3 linked regions of the Zea mays genome follow. The protein of the gene in region 3 binds, or shares a complex with, the protein of the main gene of each other region. Links are inferred from orthologs where the notes say so. Each region holds a gene or a part of one and is shown on either strand. Other genes may lie near its edges. The genes, in order: uncharacterized protein LOC100276896, uncharacterized LOC100280033 and O-sialoglycoprotein endopeptidase.

Region 1 (7,352 bases), on a different chromosome or scaffold from region 3:
TTCGTCCACGGTCCCATCCCAGTTGTGATTTGTGAAAGCCGTTTGAGAGTTGATCCGGCCAAAGCGCGCGGGCGGCGGCTGATGGGCCATCGGCCATCGCCCATTGGTGCAATGGTGCCAAGATGCGGTCGTTTGTGTCGGTCGAAGTTGATGGTTTTGCTGTAGCGGGAGCCGGGAGGGAAGGGAACACTGTTCTCCTACGGTAGTGTTGCCTTGCCTCTAGGGGGTGTAGCGTTTCTTCAACGCTGGTACCTACGAAGAAAAAAAAACACAGATTTGTCAAGTGTCAGCGGCCCAGTTGGGGCTGTACTAATCATGCCACGCCAGAAATCGCCGTGAGCTGGCCGCTAGTTTTGGAATTTTGGAACGAACGGAGAGAGACTGCGCGGACAAATGGCACAGCCGCGGTCATGCTCATGCGTGAGTGACGGTTATTGGCGACTTGGCGTCTAGTTTCAATCGAGAAAACGGGGGCGGACGTCGATATCCGACAAAACCACTCGACAAAGCTGGAGGGACCGAGGGAGGCAGAGAGCCGACTACTTTCTTCGTGTGGCAAACCGATTTCATCACCGGACAAATTAATCCAAGAGAGGAGCACTCTCCCAGTCTCTCCCACCGGATACATTCCAGTGTAATTGCAAACTGTCTAACTCAGACTTTTCAATTGTTTTTTAAGCTGCGTTCTCTTTTAAACTTTTTGTGTGATGTCTTGAGTGCTCTCTTTTAAACTTTTTGTGAGATGTCTTGAGTTTACACGACACCAGTTTTCACAAGTGTGCACCACCGTACATAATTAGACTCAACTAGATCAAGTTACTCATCCCATGTCTCTCTTTACAGTATGACTAAATGGAAATAAATGTCCCATGTCTCTCTTTATAAGTGCTCATACGCATTTTGATGATTAATAAGCACCTAAGTGTTGGCCCGGTTTTTCACAGCGGAATACAGTCAGGGGTGAGTTAGGCTAATTTTATACGCATTGTGATGATTATTAAGCACCGGGGTGCAAAATGGTCACTAGTTGAGTTGGTTGTATGAATTGAGTAGCATTTCTCATGTTCTGAATTTAATTCCCAATGAAAACGAAATTTAGATTGGAGTTAAAAAAAATCCTCTCATGTATCCTACACCAAAGCATGCCAGAGCATATGAGCCTTTGCAGTTTGAGTTTTTTTTAATAAGCTCTGAAGTGTTTTGTCCGGTTTTTCACAGCGGAGTAATCGAGGTGAATTAGGCTAATTTCTTGAAACAACTAAATCATATTGGATAGCCCACACTGTTCCTTGTTTCTACGAGTGTTTTCCTTTCTACCATAAAAATTATATATATTAGGTTTCAACCTTGTTCTAGCATATCAATTGTAGTAATGCAAGGTTAAGCATTAATTTTCTCAAATGCAAATGCTCAAAGTAAAGGGCTAGAAAGAAAGCTGCCACTCAATACTAATTCTTATTGGAGCACTCACGTGTAAGGAAAACAGACCAAGACTAATTCGACAATTATGTTTTGATGTTTGATGATCAACGTAACTGTTTAAAATAATTTTATACACTAATGTTGATATAGTTTAAAAGATGTAATATAGACTTGGACGAAAGCAAAGAGGTGATCATGATAATCAACACCTGAAAAAAGACATTAGAAGGCTCATTGATGACCTACAAGATTATGCAAGAATCTAAGAACACAGGATAGAACCAAGCTGAACACAAAAATCATAAATAAACAAAACAAAAAAAGGATTTAAAGGAACTATACGGTAGAACCAAACACTAGTCGACTGAAGAACAGGACATCTGATGTGATCACAAGACCATTAATCATTAGAGCATTAGACCATACAGTCATACTATTCATCTCACAGTAGCTTAGATCGTAACTGTTCATGGACGTGAGAACACTTTAGACGAGTCTAACGATCACGCAGAAAGGTTCCAGATAGAAAAGTGTGGTGTCAAATTGGTCCAACGACGTCGCACTATACACTACAGAGCGTGGCCCTGACAGTCGGGCAACAGCCTGTGTTGACACAATACTGACAAGAGCCGTTGTGAGGCGTTGGTCCAACAGTGCAACCATTGGACGATCAGATGGTGAGTGGAGTTGGCTTTTATTAGTACAACAGCTATATCTCTCCTTAAGGCTATTAATAGGATCCTAAACCAGCCATTTGAGATGTGTAGGAGCTGAGAAAAAATAGCCATTGAGTTGAGACTCAAACACAATAGCTCTAAACATCTAAATGCTTAAGAAATTACTCGTTAATTAACGTAGTTGTTTTGCGAAGTGCTTAGATTAGTAAGACCACTATTATCAGTGCTTGTTCTAGGTTTTTTCTAACGATCAAAAGTAAGAAATAGACACCCCTCGTGTTTGTGCGCATTATTATATTATCTTAGGATAGTCTTGCAATATCATAACAGTTATGTTTATGGTGTAGCTGCCACTGCATAGAGAAAACGGCTCGTAACGTTTTTTTTACCGAGAAACACGATAACGGAGATGGGAGATGACATATAGCATCATCCGGAGAGGCCACAACCAGAGACCAGACCAAGACCACTCATTACTCGTGGAGAAAGCCTAACTGAGGATATATAGATAATTTTTACCTATTCATCATCTATACATTTCACAACGGCATTGCCGAAAAGAATTAACCGTTCCGAATAGGATTTGACCAATCAAGGGCAAATACTACACTAGCTTGACACAGATCAAGAGCAGTTCCACTGGTAAAGACTGTCCAAAACTCCAAATTGCTCACAGGCGAACTAAAATCAACTCCGCAATGCCGTGTATGAGATTGTTCATCAAGATTCAAGAATGCCCTGCATTGGCCACACCATATTCTTCGACGAGCTTCGTCACGAGTCCCATAAGATCCACAAATGAGCTGAACGATGCTCGCAGGAAGCGGGCCTCCACGGCTGCGAAGTGGCTGAATTCGCAAAATAAGATGGACTTCAGTCTTTAGCCTTGACACGGGAACGCGCAGAAAAACAGTTAGAGATGACAGAACGGATATACTAACACGGCCAGCTTGCTGCCTGATAGAGTCATCTCCCTCTTCACCTTGTCAGGCTGCAACTGCAATATAAAGTTGCAAAGCTGTCGGCAAGATGAAAACTGGACGAGTTCACAAAGTGCCAGTAGAATACGGCTACTTTACCTCCTTGTCAACTGCTAACGTTCTGTAGACTATGGATGCATTTTCTTCAGACCCATAATCGACTTCAAGGTTACTGCCAAACGATATGTCAGTGGTGCGCTGTGAGTTCTACCCAGAAATCATTCACAGCAGAAGCAAAATACTCCTACACGGTAGGGAAGTAGTGGTAACATGTATCAAGTCGTTGCGTTTTTCTTTTTCTTTGACCCATCAGGAAAATATCATCTCAAATTATCATCAGAGCACGGTGTCGAGGTCAATCGGGGAACCAAGCAAAGCTATGGACACTGATATCGAGTTACCCCTCCCTGGAAATCATAATAAGGATGGACTTGCCAAGCTACATCTACATGCTACCAATTCCCACAGGTTCAGTCGGTTTTTCCCCAACAATCATTCATGAAAATACACGGTTTTCCTATGTACCTTCATCCCATTGATTAAGGCATGCGTGTATTTTAAGAAGTCTAACCTTTTAAATCTTTGACTAACAATTATAGAGTGGAAACATAGTCTGGTGATACATTAATAAATCAATTTCCACGCTTCATCCTATCAATTTGAGATAAACTTATATCTAGATTTTAGAAAGTGGTGGAATGTCAAAATTCCAAGCTAAATAGCCTACTCTATTAAGTAGATCCTAATTCCTCCAAAATAAAGGAATCCAAACGGCCCCTAAAGAGAGTCCGAACTTAGGTGGTCTAGACATTCGTTTATACACTGCCATTTTCTGCCTAACAATAACCGTTAGTTTCTCTCCAAGGAAATCCGTCGAACATGAAACAAGCATGGCGGTGCAGCCTCGCACAGGGCAGGGCACAGCCGTCAACAGCATTCGCAGTGCACAAAGGAATCGTAACAGCAAATTAGCTGAGCAAGGAAGCTACGTACCTAAACAGTACGCAAATCTGACTGCATCCGCACACTGCCGGCCAGGGATAGAAGGCAGGGAGACTGGAAGACGGGCAGGGAGGGAAGACTCACCAGGTGAAGTCCCAGCCGCCGGATGAAGATGTTGGCGGAACGGAAGCAGCAGCCATAGCGGCAGCGGTTCACACACCGGTCGCCCCCCTGGCTGCAGCTCCGCGAGTAAGAGTTTTCGAGGCAGAGGCGGCGCTCGGAGTTGGAGGCGCCGTTGGTGAATGGAGATGGGTTGTTCCTAAACCCCTTCCCCAGTTCCCCTGATACCCTGTCTCTCTCCACCATCACTGCTGGACAAGTGGGCTGGAAGATTACCGTTCGTGAGCCGCATGTGATCTGGGCCCATGTAGGGCCACTTAGTCGATAATGCTGTCGACGGGCTTAACTCTCAACTCTCCTGGACGAGCCCAGCATGGCAGTAGGTAGCAAGTACCATACAGCATACACGAGGTGAGGACCGAGTAGAGATTGAAAACGAAAGCGGAATCGATCGAGATAACCTCTCCTCTGATTTTATTTTTACGATTTATTTTGAAAACGGGATGTTGTCCGTTAGGCTATTTTATCTCTAATAGTTTATTCATTCTCATCTTCATACATATATTTAAACTCCACTTTATGAACAAACTGTGCAATTCTACACTAACAAATTCTACACTGACAGTGTTTTGAATGTGAATTATTGGACATGGTCTTAGCGACAAATTAAATGCTATCGCCAACCACTTCTATCGTCGGGGTCAAACTCATCTTCCTCCTCGTTAGCTTCACCCCACCATCACCGATTCACCGATCGTCAACTGCTTTGACGGCAATAGCAGTAGTCGCTCATACTTGCGCTCTTGCATTCACAAACAGAGCCCGTAGGCATTCTACTGATGCACTCATGCAGAACATCTTCTTCCCTTTTTCTGGGTTCCCCTTAGCGCAATCCTTTATCCACATGTTAGAATTCAAGAAACGAACAAGTATCATTCAGTATGCATTCGTACTAACTGGCCAAATTACATGGATCCCAAACAGTATCCCCCTTTGAAGGTAAACTGTCAAGAAAGCAAAATGACCCCACTGAAAGATTTTCTTACAAAAGAATCAGACCCCAGTCCACAGTCTCAAGCCATATATCTACAATCCACAGTACACCGTTTCAAGTATCCCTAACCATCTATAACCCCTCTTAATCCGGAACCAAATCTTCTCGTGTTTGCGTTGAATCATATACCGTGCCTGCCTTTACCTGAAGTGCTCCCTGTTCGCATTGCCACCGCTCGCAGCAAAAACAAATACCGCCATTACTCTCCCTTGTATTCCCGTCACTCAACTTGCTCGCCGATCAGATCGAGCCCAACGACCAAAAACGATACCCCTTGGAACAGAAGGAAGTAGAAGTGTATTCCTTGCACCGATATCAGGCTCCGAGCAGCTGCTGTTAAGAGAAGGAAGGAGAGCGCCAGCTCCTTCCTGTATATCCTATTGTGTTTCTTCCTTTGGGAGTCCTTTCTGAGACTGGAGGAAGGCTCCTTTGCAAGGGAACCAAGGTTGGATGCGGACCCTGCCCTTTGCTGTCTAGGCTGCTTCTCGACGACGAGATCGCCCTCGGAAGAACGGCCTGATTTCTTGGTGACGACCCACTCGTGGGCGCTCCCGAGCTGGAACAGGCCGGAGACCATGGCGTTGAACTTGGTTACCGACATGGTGTTCTCGAACAGGAGATAGGGCACGATAAACGGGAACGATTTCGGGGCTGGGAGGATGTTCAGCAGGGACATGGTCGCCGGGATGTAGCACACGACCCAGGCAGGGAGCTCGGCTTCGGGAATAAACATCGTCATGGGAAGGATGATGCAGAAAAGGGTGAAGGAATAGAAGGGCAGAATGAGCTTGCGGAGGAGAAAGAAAAGAAATATGAGGTTGAACTTCTTCCAGAATCCGATCTGCAGCAAAAAAAAAAGGAATGAAAGGTTAGCGGTTAGCCCCAGCATAAAAAAAGGTTCAAAATTTTCCGAAAAGCAAACATGTTAACTTATTGTTGAGCATATAATCATAGAGAGCAAGGAAAGGTCCACACCTTCGACTTGATAATATCCACAAAGCAGAGTCTAAATAACTGCATGGGACCAGAATGCCATCGGTGTTGCTGCTTTCGATATGCCTCATATGACTCCGGCAATTCACACTGGCACTGAAAGAATAATCATGCAACACAGCTTCATTTGTAATCACAAGTCTTAACACAATATAATATAACCATAAAGTAAAATGTTATATATGTGTAAGTACCTCAACATCGTTAAGGAACAGAAACTTCCAACCCTTGAGGTGTGCTCGGACAGCAATATCCATGTCCTCCACTGTTGTCCTCTCCATCCATCCACCTGAATCCTCGAGTGCCTTTATTCTCCACACTCCTGCCGTTCCATTGAATCCAAAGAAATTGAGGAAGATCCCATTAACCTGCTGCTCCACCTCAAAGTGGAAGCAAAGGTTTATGTTTTGCAGCCTAGTTAGCAAGTTCTCATCCTTGTTCACAAAAGACCACCTTGCCTGAACTAACCCAACGTCCTCATTGCCCTAGAAACCTCTCGCACAATGAGTCAGACAATTGAATTCACATGGACTCATCCTTAGATGAAAATGCAAGCAAAAGATGTCCGCCAAACCTTGAAATGGGGCACAGTTCGCTTCAGGAAGTCTGGCTGGGGTTGAAAATCAGCATCAAAGATAACAACAAACTCATAATCCTTTACATAGCTGCAGTTCATGGCTGACTTGAGATTTCCAGCCTTGTAGCCATCACGAATTAACCGGTGTCGGTACAATATGCGAACGCCTTCCCGTTGCCACTTCTCCACCTCCTCTTTAATAAGTGTTGAAGTGGCAGCGTCATCAGAATCGTCTAGCACCTGCACCAAGAAGTTTGGCCTTGGCCAGTCCAGACCGCAAACAGCACCAATAGATTGCTGGTACACCTGCAACCATATAAATCCCCGCTTCAAGATTGTTAAAAAAATGTAATCTTAGACTTTTCTGAAGTAGTAATTTAGTAAGATGTAAAAACATGCTAACATAACAACCATTGGTTTCAGCGGTTTCCTCCTCCAAGCCTACGATCAGTTCAATGTCCATTAGTCCTCTTTTGCAAAAGACAAAATTTGAGAATTTTCTATTCCTCCAACTTCCTAAGGGGCCATTCGGTTTTCCGGTGACTCGGAACCGTTCCTAGCTTGGATTGTTTCCCTCGTTTATATAA
Region 2 (7,825 bases), on a different chromosome or scaffold from region 3:
CAAATGCCAAACTCGATGACGATATGCTTCAGCTGTGGGAGGCTGCAGAGAGGATCTGCAAGAACCAAACGGCCAAGTCCTCGTCATCTGAGCACGACATACAAGCCGTCGAGGATCTGAAGAGTGAGCACCCTTCGTCTGAGCTAGCAAGGGGAAGAGACCTTGGAATCAATAAGCTAGAAGCGTCGAAGGGAGCTGCAGAGCCTCATGAGGCGTGGAGCAAGAACGTACTTGAGAGGCTCACTTCTGATGCTCAGAGGCTGTTGAGCATCCAAGCGAGCATTGAAGAGTTGAAGCAGAAAATGGAGGGGCAGTCAAAGGGAAAATCCCCTATGAACTCTTGAGTACAGCAGTGTGAGCGCTCAGGTGCATGAGACAGAGGGCCATGTCTTGGAACAGATCAATCTGAACAACAAATTGACTAGGACGGCTGAGAACTACCCCACACTGTCAGATAATATGAGCACCGAGCGAGAAGGGTATTCCAGCAGGAGGAAGATCTCCGAGCAGGTGCAGAAAGGGTCGGAGAATGTGGCAAGGTTGGAACTGGAGCTTCAGAAGATTCAGTATGTCTTGCTGAAGCTTGAGGAAGAGCACGAGTACAGAAGGCTCAAAGTCTCTGATAAGCGCACTCGCGTGCTTTTGAGGGACTATCTGTGTGGGAGGAAGGACCGCGGTGGCGGGCAGAAGAAAAAGAAGAAGAGGGTCCCGTTCTGTTGTTGTGTTCGTCCGAAATCAAGAACAGAGCCGTAGCCTTTCTTTTTGTTCGACCTGCACCTCCAAGTGGTAGCCGTAGTCCGAAATCAAGAAATAAAACAAAATCGACCTGCACCTCCAAGTGGTTGGCAAAGTGTCACCTGTGCATTGGAAGAGGAGGTGGTGTTCCTAGGATCCCCTTTGTAATTGAGTTAGCATTTTAGTATCTTTTTTCTTTTCTTTTTGAAACTAGCATTATAGTATCATGATGAAGAAGCTTATGTACTAAAAATTTTGGTTTCCTGTCTAAATGAGGCCATTATGGCTAGTTTAATGCGTTAATACTGTCGTATATCAAGGCGTTCTCTTTTTTTTTTTTTTTGAACAAACGCAGGAGAGCTGCGTGTCATTATATTAAGAAGAAAAAAAGAACATAGGAGAGACAAGACTTGTCAACCCCTAATTACAGAGGCCCCAAGGCCGAGACCCCTCCGGCAAAAACACAACGCACCACACACACACAAGGTAACAACCCGACCAAAAACGACTACCAGCAGGAAAACTGCTAAGGTCCCCTAGGGAGCTTGTGCAGCAGGAGGTCCTGCAGAGCTGATGCACCAGCCAAACACCAGAAGTTGCCCTCCTCAATCACAGCACTCTGAACTCGCTGGGTGCAGGGCACAACCCCCTCAAAAACACAAGCATTACGATGCTTCCAAATCTCCCAAGCAACCAAAATGATCAAGGAATTAAGACCTTTTCTTAGACTCTTCTCCACTTTCTTGATACTTTGGCACCACCAATTTGAGAAACGAGTGCATCCATGCTGAGGCACAATGGCAAGGAGGCCTAAATTGTGTAGCATGGACGTCCATATCTGCCGAGCGAACACGCAAGAGACAAGAATATGTTGGATGGTTTCCTCGGCCTGATCACACAGAGGGCAAGCAACTGGATGGGGCAGACCTCTTTTAGCAAGTCGATCAGCTGTCCAAACCCTGTTTTTGATTGCCAACCATACAAAGAATTTGCATCGTAAGGGGGCCCAGGTCTTCCAGACACGTCGCCAAGGGCCAAAAGGGATAGAGCCAACAAAGAGAGCATCATAGGCCGATTTGCTACAATAAGTACCATGAGCAGAGAGGCGCCAGATGTGTTGGTCTGCGATGTCAGGTTGCAGAACTACCCCATCAACCAAGTTCCATAGCTGCAGATACTCTACTAGGACCGTTACAGACAATCCTCCCCGAATATCTGACACCCATTGACGATTTGTGAGCCCCTCAGCTACTGTTCTTCGCTTTAAAGCCCTTCTAGAAATCACTTGGATAAGGGTTGGACAGTGTTCAGCCACAGTTTTACCAAGGAGCCAACAATCAGACCAGAACTTCACAGATTCACCACTGCCTACCACTGAGGTAATAGCCACATCAACGAGGGCCTTTGCATTACGGTGCACTCGGATAGGGAGACCAGCCCATGGCCTTGACGCGTCAGTCTTTTGTAACCAAAGCCACCTGGCACGTAGGGCCCATCCAAACATCTCCAGGTTGAGAATACCCAGACCACCATACTTGAGAGGCCGCTGGACAGCTTCCCAAGACACGAGACAGTTACCTCCATTTGCATCACCTTGCCCCTTCCAAAGAAAGCCTCGTCTCCTCTTATCGATTGCCTTAAAAACCCATTTAGGTAGTTCTAAAGCAAGCATAAGATAGATAGGGACAGAAGACAACACTGTCTTAACCATGACAAGACGACCAGCCCGGCTGAGAAGATTAGCTTTCCATCCTGGAAGTTTATCAGCAACTTTATCAACAAACGGCAGGAGATCAGAGTTAGCAAGCCTACGGATTGATAGAGGAATCCCCAAGTAAGTGCAGGGAAAATTTTTTGTAGCACATGGTAACAAGGCAGAAATGGTGGTCAGCTCATTCGCTCCACATTGAATGGGTGTAACAGAACTTTTGGAGATGTTCGTTTTTAACCCAGTAGCATGACCAAAGATGTCTAAAATGCTGATAATTGCTGAGATATCCTGATGAGAGGGCCGCATGAACAAAACAACATCGTCAGCATAGAAGGAGATACAATGTTTGGCATGTTGATTTGCAATCGGCTGCAGCATATGTTCCCTGAAAGCATAACTGACCATAGCATTCAAAGCCTCCATGACAAGGATAAACAGCATGGGGGACAAAGGATCGCCTTGCCGAAGACCCCTATGATGCAGAATGTATTCCCTAGGCTCGCCATTGACAAGGATCCGTGTAGAGGAAGTGCAAAGCAACAGACTAATAAGGTTGCACCAGCTTCGACCAAAACCCAAGTGTTGTAACATGTCAAGCAGGAATGGCTCTCTTTCCATCTATAATAGCTTCGTGTTTACAGGCCAAGCAGTGCATTTTGCTTCCAGGTTCAAACTGCAGAAGCAAAGCACCGGGACTAGTAAGTCCTTTCTTTAATATTGATGAATAATCTCATAAGGTATAACATCATCTCTTTCTTTAATATTGAATAATCATTATACAGTTTGTCAATTCCAATTAATAGTGGAACTTCTTTGTATATACGGTTATTGCATATCTCTACTATCTATTAAGTCAATAGTGTAGACCACATGCACAACCATGCCCCCACTCATGTCCTCCTTGTGCCCCCCCCCCCCTAGCTCCCTCGGAAACCCGCTGCCCCCTAGCCCACGATTGATCCCCTCCCTCCACGCCACCACCTCGCGTGGCCCAGTACCTCGCCCCCGTCCTTGATACCGCCACCCCGTGACCCATCTGAGATCGGCTCTTCCATCGGTCTCGGCCTCGACGCCACCCCTAAACTATGATGCCCTTCCACAGCCAGCCGCAATGCCCATCCACGAGGTCGCCGCAGCCGCCCCTCACCGCTCGCAGTCAACCCCCACCCATATGCGGCAGAGCCTGGCGTCACGGAGGCCAGCGAGGGCCCTAGGGCAGGGCCAGCCATCCGCTCTCCGCAAGCATGACCTTTCGGCCAGATCTGCACGGTTGGGCCGACGACCGGTTCTTCCCCCTCGTTCCTCCGCCCAGCGGGTGGTGGGTGCCTCAAAAATTCTAGCTGGTCGCGAGGATCTATTTGGTGAGTTGGGAGCCATAGCTTCGATTTGGGGGTTTTCCTTTGGTCTCAGAGTGCAATTCTGTATAAAAGGAGAGGAAGTTTAGGGCATGTTAAAGGGAAAAACTAAGGAAATCATGTTTATTGATAGGTCACCTGAAAAAAGGACATGAACCTAGAATCTGTTATAATTTTTTGATGTGTCTGGATAGAATTGGGAAGCTTCACGGACCGCTGAGTTAGAGTGGGAACCTATGTTGCCCTGATACGGGGATACAGATACGGATACGCGATACGCCGATACCCCGATACGCCATTTCTCAAAAAATACGGATACGGCGATACGCAATATATATTATAAATAAAATTAAATGTTGAAATGTCTGAAATGGATCAATGCCATAGTAATCTTAATAAGTTAATCATGGATTTACTAGTACCAAGAACATTTAATGCTGCTAGCATCGGTAGATGCACACGTTGCCATGGGATATTGGGATCTAACAAGAACAGAGAATGGGACAACCGGACAAGTACAGCGTCAGGCAGGGCAGATGGGAGATGTCGGCAGATCACAAACCTCAGTACCTCACGACGGCAGACGGGCTGGCTGACGGCGCGACCTCAGAGCTGGCGGCGGCGGACGCGGCCACGGATCGGCGACGGCTGGCGGCGCGCAGGGAAGCGCGGCTGAGCGGGTCTCCAAGCGGTGACGGGCTGGCGGCGCGCAGGTTTCCAAGGATCTCCAATCGGTGACGGGCTGACGGCTGGCGGCGCGCAGGAGCCAGGAGAAGCCGGACTGGCGGCGCGCAGGAGATGGTGCGCGTGCGCCGTGGGGAGAAGCAGTGCGCAGGGGAAATCAGGGTATCACGCACGTGTCCAATTGTATCCGTCTTTTTTTATTTATTTAAATTCATAGCCTCGGATACGTATCCGGAAGTATCGGAGGAGTATCCGTATCTGATACGGCATCCGACATCATACGTAAATTTTGAGAAGTATTCGTGCATCATAGGTGGAAACTATATCGAAAACTTCTGATATTTTTCGATTGATAGTCTCTCCACTGTGTTGGAAAGCCTTTTGAAGCATTTGGTTACTGGCATTATAGGAGATCATATACATGAACATCCCAACCTGCTCTTCGACGTTAACTCCTCATGTGTCACGTAACAAACCCTCTCTTCTAAGGAAATCTGATGTGGCTCTAAATATTTCTGGCTTCATTCGAAACTCGACTTGCACCAACTCTCATGCCCTTCGAGAATCTCCTTAACCTTCTAGGCACCAGAGAGAGGAGGTATGGATAGACCTTTTCTTTTTAGAGAGGAATGGAAGTACAGCAGGGAGAAGAATAAAGAAAAACTCTGCATTGTCTTCTTCTTCCTCCAACAAAAACTGTATAGCTAGCTCTTCCCAATAACCCATATCTAGAGAAATCGAGAAACTACATAAGCAACACATAATCATAGCAAAAGGCATGACAAGCATTTCTGTTCGAGACAATACCGAATGTTCTCGCAAAGATTTTGAACAAGGCTATGCAGGTAAACATCATACACTTGTAAAATTTAACCAGCTGAATCAATATGCCACAGCAAAATGGTTTATACCTATATAAATTAGAACAAACTAAAGTTACAATTATCATTTGAAAGAAATATAAAATTATCAAAATCAAAAGTACTAGCATCAGCACAAACAATGAGACAATAGATAAGGAAACATTGAACAACCATGGCAAGTACTAACGAGACAAACAATTGATCACTAATTAATCACCCTCATCCCTCTTCGGCAACTATTTGATAGATCTATATGCCCAGAGACATCTATTCCGCAATTCTATATGCTCAGAGACACCAACAGCAACAAAGATACCCCATGCCACTTTCCCCACTGGTTTACAGTTAACTAACTAGCTATTACCAACACTGAATCCATAGTTGCAAGAGAAAGTATAGAGCACAGAGCAGATCGTACAGAGCACAGAGCAGATCGTACAGAGCATGAGTTCAGCAAACCTTGTACTGGATCTTTTGGTTCTGTAGCACGAGCGCGACACCGGCATTCAACAAACCTGAGCGGCCTAACAGCAACAACCTTGTACTGGATCTTGGAAATCAAAGCCGAAGAAGAGTTAACATCAAATTGGGGGAATGGTTCGAAACCCTAGGAAAGCGAGAGGAGGGCGAAGACCATATATCGTCCGTGGAAGACAGCGGCGGCGCTATGGACGACGGCAGAGCGAACGGCGATGCATAGATGGTGGTGATGGAGCGGACGGCGGCGCATAGATGGTAGTGGCTACGACTGCACTATGGCTGCGCAGACGACTTCCCGTCTCGTCGCGCCGCGTCGTGGAAAGGTGCCTGGAGTCAAGTGTCCGGGAAGGGGTTCCCCCGGTGATAGGTCGGGTTGGGGGAGCGCTGACCCGGGTGAGCACGTTCCAAACGGACCGGAAATTTTCACCGGGCCTATTTCCACGGTGGGTTGTGGCCACGGTGAAATGCTCGTTTTCTCCCTCGGAATTGGACTTCCAAACAAGGCCTAATGGAAAGAAATTAAACGGATCCACAATACAAGTAGGCTGACCTATATATATTATATCATACCATATCGATGAGAGACCGAGAAAGCAATGGCAGCTTGTCAAGCTGATTATATTGCAGATACTTCTGTGTTCAATGAGAAATTGTATATTAAAAGTGAAAGGGAAATAGTCTCAGACATTTCCTATAATCGATTTTGGTGTTTGACGACCATCACAAACCTTTTTGACTAACCAGATTGCCTAGTTGATCATTTCACAGGTGCATAAGTTCATCTACAACCATTCTAACTCGACTGTCTGGAATACCGTAGATTATTCCGGACAGGAGAAGCTTTTTGGAAAATCACCTAAGGGTGGACCGTCCGCGACACCAGGGTGACCCTCGTACAGGAACACTGCATAAACGCAAGACAACATTACGGACCGTCCGATTGAGAAGTGAGCAACGTCCGAGACCAAGTGCGGACCGTCCAGCCTCAGGCGCGGACCGTCCGGTCGGTGAAGAACCAGAAAACCCGAAGGTGACGGGTTCGGTAAAATGAATTTTAAGCGTCCTCGCGGACCGTCCGGGGTGCACGACCGGACCGTCCACGACTGCGGTACCTGACATCTGACGACGCATTTAATGCATAGTAGTCGTTGATATAGCCGTTACTGCTGACCGTTGCGATTTTAGCCATTGATGTGCAGGGGCAGACCGTCCAGACCAGGGGTGCGGACCGTCCGCGGTCGGCAGAAGGGAGCAACGGCTAGGAAGTGGTTTGGGGCTATAAATACAACCCCAACCACCTCCATTCACTTCACCCAAGCACTCCAATCCTTCACATTCAATACAAGAGCTAGCAATCCATTCAAAGACACAATCAAAGCTTCCAATCTCTCCAAGTTCAACAATTAAGACAAGTGATCATTAGTGATTAGTGACTTGAGAGAGAGAGAGTGATATGTGTGTTATTTGTCGCTCTTGTCGCTTGGCTTTTGCAATCGTGCTTTCTTCTTTTCCCATTCTTATTATCAAGTGACTTGTAATCAAAGCAAGAGACACCAAGTGTGTGGTGGTCCTTGCGGGGTCTAAGTGACCCGTTTGATTAAGGAGAAAGCTCACTCGGTCTAAGTGACCGTTTGAGAGAGGGAAAGGGTTGAAAGAGACCCGGTCTTTGTGACCACCTCAACGGGGACTAGGTTATTTGGAACCGAACCTCGGTAAAACAAATCATTGTGTTCATTAGCTCTATTTCTTGGTTGATTTGTTTTCACTCTCTTTCGGACTTGGATTTAATTCTAACGCTAACCCTGGCTTGTAGTGTGTGCTTAAGTTTATAAATTCTAGATTCCGTCTATCCACCCTCCCCTCTAGGCGACTTTTCAATTGGTATCAGGACCTGGTACTTCATTTAGAGTCTAACCACTCGAAGTGATGTCGGGAGGCTCCGCTAAGAGGGAGATGGAAACCGGCGATAAGGCCACAAGCCAGGGGAAGGCTCCATC
Region 3 (7,696 bases):
TTTTGTTTCCGACGAAATTGTTCTGACAAGAGCTAAGGTTAGCAGCTGTTTCTTGAGTCCATTATCATTAGAGTACATCTCAGTTTTTTTCTGATCGTGTTAGAGTATATCCAACTTTTTCTCTTTCCAGGTGAGAGATGAGACGCTGCTTTTGAAATTATCTATCCAATCCTTATAAAGTTCATAAATGTCCGGCAATGCTAAATACATGGTAATTGCTAATGGGCATGAATAATTAGGGTACGTTGTTCAAGTATGTGCCCAGTTGTTGTTGTTGTTGTCCCTCTTTTTATTGTTTTGTTTCCTGATTTCGACGATATCATTACATGGGACGCTCACGAGACTTATATAATATTCGCTACATATTTATATTCGCTACATATTTGCTACATATTTATATAATATCCTTCTATGGAATCAATGAGTTGATTAATATTCGCTACATATTTATCATTGTTTATTTTTTATCAATGACAAAGCACATGTGCGATATATATCTTTTAAGATATGTAAACGTCCACTTTTGGTGATGCTAATAAAAGTGTAGAATAACATATAATATTTTTGCATATCAATGTATTTTATCACTATTTGAATTGAGCACAAATTTCATGTCATTAGTGTTAATTTGTGAGATATGGGGTTGATGATATATATGTTGTTCGTTTTCATGTATACGTTGTGCACTAATATTTATCGAATAATTTTATACGCCGTCGCAACACACAAGCATATACCTAGTAAACTTATTAGGGCTAGTTTGGAAACCTCAATTTCTCAAGGGATTTCTATTTTCCCAAGGGAAATTAGTTCATTTTCCAATGGAAAAATATAAATCCCTCGGAAAAATATGGTTCCCAAACTAGCCCTTAGATGGAGCTTTTGACATTGATGATTTAAGGTTTTTGCGAACGACTCCTCATAATTACTACACCACACCATCAAGATTTCGGCGAATGGCTCCTCGTAATTACTATACCACTGCTGACAAATAAATGACCTCGCTAAGAAGGTTTATATCTGCAAACATAACCAAGAACACAAGTAATAACAGTAAGAACACAATCAAACTGATATTGGTCACGAGGCGGGGTCTGACAAAGCGGTGAACATTAAGAAAATCTCAATCTTAATGGTGGTGGTGGTTGTTGATAAAATAGGGTTTAGGGGTGTGCAAGTAAGAATGCTAACGAGCTCTAAATTTTACATTATAAAATTTAAGGAACAGATCAAATTAGGACGAGACCTATTTATATTCATTTTAAAACTAAAACTAACTAAGGGTTCAAACAAATTGTAAAAATACATTTGGATCGTGATTCATTACCACCCCTACCCACAAGACCCCTGGACACGTCTCCAATAGGCTCGAACACGATACACAGGCCAACAACAAAAAATATGGTATCACAACACCGGAACAAAATATGGATACTGAGTTTTTCAATGATTCCCGTTGACCCCGAAGTAATTTTAAAACGAGATCAGTTGGGTTGGAAAGCTTATATGATTAGTTTTACATTCATATAAAGAACGCCGAAAATGGAGTCTGTATGTGTTCTGGACGTCAGTTTTAGTGCGAGCTAGTCCTGGACTCCGAGTTAGAGTCAAAGTCGAGTTGGACTTGTACTCTCGCTTGTTGTGGACGTCCTAACTTCTCTCATTAGTACCTAGACCCTTTCTAACTTATTGCTAGTCCTCTCCAAAGTTTCTAACATCAAAACATATATAACACCAAACGTAAACTTTGAAATACAGTTGATGAAGTTAGAACGAACCTATAGATTGAATTATCATGCACGTGCTCGCGTTATTAGTACCTCCATTATATGTATAGGGTGATGTGTCTGCTTGCTCAGCTGGGCAACAAGCTACCTGCATAGCAAGCGCAGCTATGAGTAAATAAAGCGATCCGGAGAAAAAGTGAACGTTGTTGAGCTCTGAAAATTCCTCCGTGTCAAACATCCCATCTTGGGATGCAGGTTTCAGGATGAACTCGGTAGCGAACGAAGTTTGACAAATTGACAATATAATAGAAACCCTTGCACGCCGGCTCCGACCAGCAAGATTGTGAAGGACACGCCCCCCCACAAGCAATTACAAGCCTGTCAAAAGAAAGAACATACTGTAGTTTGCAGCCATATATGATGTATGACGTGATTGGTTGGGCTATTAGGAAAAAAAATCAATCAATTGTAACTTCACGTTGCATCCTTAACAATTTCGTATAAATGCGCAAGACTATTTACAGGATCGGAGGTTCCCTTTTTCAAACACATCTTCCAACGGCGAGTAGTCTACCAGGCGACTTGTGGCTTCTTTCATCCGAGATCCCTGTCATCTCCCAGTCCGAATCACTCTGGTGAAGAAACTTAGGGTGTGTTTGGTTAACGGGTTGACGCGGGTTAGAACGGGTTCAACCCACAATAATTCCTGTTTGGTTCAAAAAGCTTACGAGTTAAGTTGGTTCTAGCTAACTGTATCAGCTTGTCCCCAGCAAGTTCCCTGAAAGTAAATACCGTTTCTTAGTTTTCAAAGCCCCCCATAGGGCCACAGCAACAACAAAACATATTATCTACCACAAACTTTTTTTTTCACTAAGCCACATTTGCCCTGTTGAAACAAAATCAACGCCTACACTCTTATCTAGAGCTTTAGACATACAACACGATAGCTATTTAACTACAACACACAGTCAAAGAAAGAGATGAAAAACTGATCCACAGACTCACTACAAAATAAGCAAGATTTGTCCTCTACTTTCCTTCTCAAACTCAGATTGTCACGAGTTAGTAGCTTGTTCTTAGACAACCATCACAAGAAAAAAGTGAACTCTAGGGGTATATTAAGACTCCAAACATACACCCGTATTACCTCTATGAAGTTAACGACTTTATAAAGTGTTTGAGAGTAATAAACCTCATTAGAAGTAAACTGCTAGATTAAGCAGTCTCCCTTGTGTTAGTAAAAACAATGGTACGGACCGGTTGAATCATCTCCTACCAAACAAAGATTCATTGATCAGAGTAAGTGCTGACATCATTAAGGACCTGTTTGGTTCTCAGTTAACTGTGTTATACTTAGGTTCTGTTTATTTCCTTCTAGAATTATATAATCCAGTTTATGAATTATATAAACATTTATTGATCTGCTTATGGATTATTATAACCTAGGTATATAGATTATATAATCCATCTAATAATCGGTGTTGTTTGTTTACCTCTCAATTTATTTAAGCTGTATTATATAATGTGGAGGGTAAACAAATATGGCCTTAATCTTAAAAAAAAAGTGAGATAAATTGTCACCTAAGAGGATGTTTGTTGATAGGATGTTTGTTTGAGATTATAATACATCTAGATTATATAATCCAACAGCTTTTGAACTAACAGATTATAACTCCAAACAATCAACAACTACCTTCGCACTAGATTGTTATCACAATGACGTTGCCTGATGGCCATATTCAGCAACTGTTGCATGAAAAAAAGATCGTATTTTCCACTGACCTTACATTAATTCGACCACTGTCAGTGGGCCACTGGGCTAAGTTGTTTTGAAATTATGGGCCCTAAGGCCAAAATTGGGCTGGTTTCTTGTACACTTCCACGTTCGAGGCGCGCGGCGAGCCGGGTTCTCACCAATTCGTCTTCTTCCACAAACTCCAAAACCCTAGCGCCGCCGCCGCCATGTCCTCGTCTCCGTCCCCGGCGAACCGCCGTCCCCGGGGCCCGCTTGCGCTGGGGCTGGAGTCCTCGGCGAACAAGATCGGCATCGGCGTGGTCTCCCTCTCGGGTGACATCCTCTCCAACCCGCGCCACACCTACGTGACACCGCCGGGTCATGGATTCCTTCCCCGGGAGACCGCGCAGCACCACCTCGCGCACCTCCTCCCTCTCCTCCGCGCCGCGCTCGCTGAGTCCGGTGTGGCCCCCGCTGACCTCGCATGCGTCTGCTACACTAAAGGCCCCGGCATGGGCGGCCCTCTCCAGGTCGCCGCCGCAGCCGCCCGCGCGCTCTCCCTGTTATGGAGGAAGCCTCTCGTGGCGGTCAACCACTGCGTTGCGCACATCGAGATGGGCCGCGCGGTCACTGGGGCCGTGGACCCCGTTGTACTCTACGTCTCCGGCGGAAACACGCAGGTTATCGCCTACAGCGAGGGGAGGTACAGGATCTTCGGGGAAACGATTGATATTGCCGTCGGGAACTGCCTTGACCGATTCGCCAGGGTCCTAGAGCTCTCCAATGACCCTAGCCCCGGGTATAACATCGAGCAGGTAAACTGTTCCATCAAATGCCAATTTTGTTATCCAATTGCTGTTGCTTAATGTTGTTTAATTCTAGCGATATGCACATAGATGCTGGTTTGTGTGAGTGTTTTTCTAGCATGAAGTATTGTCACCATGACGACTGCATCACATACATGTAAATGCCCTGGGTGGCAAATTGTTAGGGAAATGGTAAAAGTTATTAGTGCACCATGAGTATTTTATCATGAAAGGGTGTTTATGAGTCCTGGAGCTATCAGTGGAACTTTGGCACCTCTTGAACTTTTTACTGACCCTAGCCACTTGAATTTAATTGAAAAATTAACCTACATTACGAAATTCATAGGCAATTTAATTTATGCTGGCTGTACATTTAGTGGCTAGTTTGTTGCCTCCATCAAATAATGGAGTGTTGTACTTGTGGGCAAGATTACTTTTATACTCCCTCCGTTCCAAAATAGTAGTCGTTTTAGCTCTTGATTTTTATGTCTATATTCAAATGGATGAAGATGAATCTAGGCACAAATATAAAACGCAAACATCGACTCATCAAGTATTGTGTGAATCCAATAAATCTCTAAAACGAATTTTATTTTGGGACAGAGGGAGCATGTTTTGTTGAAACATAGCGATCATTTGATTATATTTATGTATTGAACTATATAATATGCTGGGCAGATCTTATGTAGGACTAGTTTTGTGTGACATTGCTTGCATAATGAAGGTCACCATAGATTTATTCAGTCTATGCAATCACTTATGTTTCCTTGTTTTCTTTTAAACTAACACATTTAGGTAGCCAAACACTATCTTACTCTTATTTTGCCAACTCATACAATCAGCCAACAGAACTTATCTTTTTACATACAGCTGAAGAACATTTATTGTATCACGGCCAGGTCAAATGTATCCAATGGGTTGTTTGGTCGTTTAAGCACTTTGACCAGTATGGGGTCATAATTAGCTTCATTCTATATATGTTCCTTTTTCTCAAACCTTTATTCGAATATTGAGACTAAATTTAGCTGACTGTCTGAAGTAGGGCTGCATGTGTTGAATGGTGTTTGGTTGGCTGTATGTGCTAAATTATTTGAGTGGTCGTGTAGATGGATGGACAATAAGCTTTTGAGCCCTGGAAGCCTTCACATTTTATCCCTGGATACATAGGGCTTGAGCTTATAGGATAATCCCAGGAAGTCCCCATTTGATTGGCCTATGTTAAGATTGAACTTCGACACTATTATTAACATTGTTGACACTATGGATTAGTCTGTGTGAATCATTCAAGAGAGTACTTCTGAAGTAGTTCCACATGGTATTGTTATCTACCATTCTACCTTCATCATTGTATTAGCTGTCACCATTAGCATTTTTCTTTCTTTCTTTTTTGTTTTGTTTTTGAAGACATTTTCACTTTGAAGCTTGAACAGATTTATGTTTTTGTACAACATGGCACATTCTTTTCTCATCCTTGAGTTTGGTTTCTTAATTTACCGTATTTATTTTCCTTGTCCAGCTTGCAAAGAAGGGAGAAAAATTCATTGATGTCCCTTATGTTGTGAAGGGTATGGATGTGTCATTCAGTGGCATATTGAGCTTTATTGAAGCTGCGGCGATTGAAAAGCTTAAAAATAATGAGTGCACACCTGCGGACCTATGCTACTCATTGCAGGTACTTGCATGCTCTTAAACTTTCCCCCCTTGTGGATAATAATTGGTTATGCTTTCTTGACAGTGACACTGATGAAAGTCCTAATTTCTCAGGAAACTATCTTTGCCATGCTTGTCGAAATTACTGAACGTGCCATGGCACACTGTGATTCAAAGGACGTTCTTATTGTTGGTGGCGTCGGTTGCAACGAACGTTTACAGGAGATGATGAAGATTATGTGCTCAGAAAGAGGGGGTAGGCTGTTTGCAACTGATGACCGCTATTGTATAGACAATGGGGCAATGATTGCATATACTGGTTTACTGGCGTATGCACATGGCATGACCACTCCCCTTGAGGAGTCGACATTTACACAAAGATTCCGAACTGATGAAGTTCATGCAATTTGGAGAGAGAAGGAGATGCCGGTGCTAAATAATACCCATTCAGATGCAATTGCTGAAGTTTCTAAAGATGAAGCCTCCATGGCAACACCAATCGTTATAGATTACTGAGGTACAATTGGCCTTTACAATTTTGTCTTGCTGCTAATGTTTTTTCATGATAGCTAATGCAATTTGGATTGTTGGAGACAATCGCTACCAATTACTCTCCCTCTATTCCAAACTAAGACATTTTGCTTTACTAGATGCATAGTGTTTGCTATGGCCCTGTTTGGAACCTCTAGAGCTAATACTGCTAAAATTAGTTGTATAGGTCAAACACCCACAACTAATATCCCAATTAATTGTTAGCTAACTCACAGCTAACAATTAGTTCATTAGCTGACTCAACCCAGCTATCAATTTGTTAGCTAGCTAACTAATATCTCTAGGGGTTCCAAACAGGAACCTATGTACTTAGGTGTACACTATGTCTGGATATATATAGTTAAGGCAATGTATCTAGAAAACCCAAAAAATGTGTCATAATTTGAAATGGAAGGAGTACTTGGCAATTCATGTGGAGTTGTGGATGATACGATGTTGGGTGTGATCCCACTTTTCGTGCGTTTGATTTTTCTACATGATGAATATGCTCTACAAATGAAGTTTTCTAGTGCATGAGTTTTACCTAGTGTGCAAACCATGCTGTTAAATGCAAAACTATGCATCTTTTTTTGGACAATACGAAACAGAAGGAACCACTATAGATTTTTTATGCTTCACTGCATATCCTCATGTGTTTTACTTCTGAGCAGCCGCAATCTGATGAGGTTGTTTCTTTTCTGTCAGACAGTAAAGAGTAAATGCTTGTACGGTAAAGCCTAGAACCACTCCTAAGGCTATCTCCAACTGATCTCCTATAGTCCTATCTCATCTCCTATCTCAAACTTCACTCTACAAACAGATAGTTCCACATCTAAATGTGATATCTTTGCTCTGTTTGGGAGAAGCCTCCTCCAGGCACATGGCAGGGGCTCAGAATAGTTGTGCTGTTGTATGAACTGCAGCAGGTAAAATGAACATGTCGTATGCCTGACATACCTGAAGATAGCTGACATGGATCAAACCTCACCAATCGCTGACATGGATCAAACCTCACCTATCACCTTAACATTCTAGTTAGTTACTTCATCGAGTGAACTTATTATTGTTGTAAACTAATAGACGCATTTCTGCAAAGCTAGCTTAACTCTTAAGTTACTCTTGTGATGGTAATCTGTTAAGGTTCTAAAGCAGCCTCTTTTGGATCGACATTGGATTCTTGGGAACGTGGGGAGTTATTTCGATTCGCATCCAATGCACATCAGCTAAGGTGGTGGTTTTCTGTAAAA

What was found.
Region 1: the proteins of O-sialoglycoprotein endopeptidase (region 3) and uncharacterized protein LOC100276896 are in contact, whole or in part, in a cryo-EM structure (PDB 8K20), measured with the Arabidopsis thaliana proteins. The link is inferred for Zea mays from reciprocal best matches to the Arabidopsis thaliana genes AT4G22720 and AT5G53045. Residues at the interface, in NP_194003.1 of Arabidopsis thaliana: Arg47, Leu54, Leu58, Gln91, Val92, Ile95, Arg98, Val99, Leu100, Gln102, Leu103, Ile319, Glu320, Asp321, Ser322, Phe324; in NP_850925.1 of Arabidopsis thaliana: Ile33, Thr36, Ser37, Val40, Asp41, Lys42, Ala78, Asp81, Val82, Leu85, Arg88, Thr89, Ile90, Phe93.
Region 2: the proteins of O-sialoglycoprotein endopeptidase (region 3) and uncharacterized LOC100280033 are in contact, whole or in part, in a cryo-EM structure (PDB 8K20), measured with the Arabidopsis thaliana proteins. The link is inferred for Zea mays from reciprocal best matches to the Arabidopsis thaliana genes AT4G22720 and AT5G26110. Residues at the interface, in NP_194003.1 of Arabidopsis thaliana: Glu147, Arg149, Arg151, Phe194, Lys202, Gly203, Tyr235, Glu239, Ala243, Val246, Glu247, Glu250, Arg251, Ala254, Arg272, Met280, Glu283, Arg284, Arg329; in NP_001331017.1 of Arabidopsis thaliana: Ala19, Glu20, Lys41, Lys42, Tyr43, His45, Ile47, Leu48, Arg56, Gly158, Leu159, Val161, Asp168, Arg178, Arg218, Gly219, Lys221.

What each region holds. Positions count from the first base shown.
Region 1 is NC_050098.1:199,130,271-199,137,622, reverse strand, and holds uncharacterized protein LOC100276896, read right to left. Parts: upstream 4,347-7,352; 5' UTR 4,222-4,346; coding exon 4,166-4,221; intron 3,252-4,165; coding exon 3,179-3,251; intron 3,097-3,178; coding exon 3,041-3,096; intron 2,948-3,040; coding exon 2,827-2,947; 3' UTR 2,576-2,826; downstream 1-2,575. Other genes in the region: Probable xyloglucan glycosyltransferase 1-like, read right to left, coding at 5,416-6,036, 6,171-6,284, 6,383-6,673, 6,763-7,071.
Region 2 is NC_050100.1:34,849,071-34,856,895, reverse strand, and holds the start of uncharacterized LOC100280033, read right to left. Parts: upstream 4,590-7,825; 5' UTR 4,364-4,589; intron 839-4,363; exon of another isoform or gene 1-838.
Region 3 is NC_050101.1:140,538,376-140,546,071, forward strand, and holds O-sialoglycoprotein endopeptidase, read left to right. Parts: upstream 1-3,660; 5' UTR 3,661-3,689; coding exon 3,690-4,277; intron 4,278-5,784; coding exon 5,785-5,940; intron 5,941-6,032; coding exon 6,033-6,434; 3' UTR 6,435-6,435; intron 6,436-7,154; 3' UTR 7,155-7,564; downstream 7,565-7,696.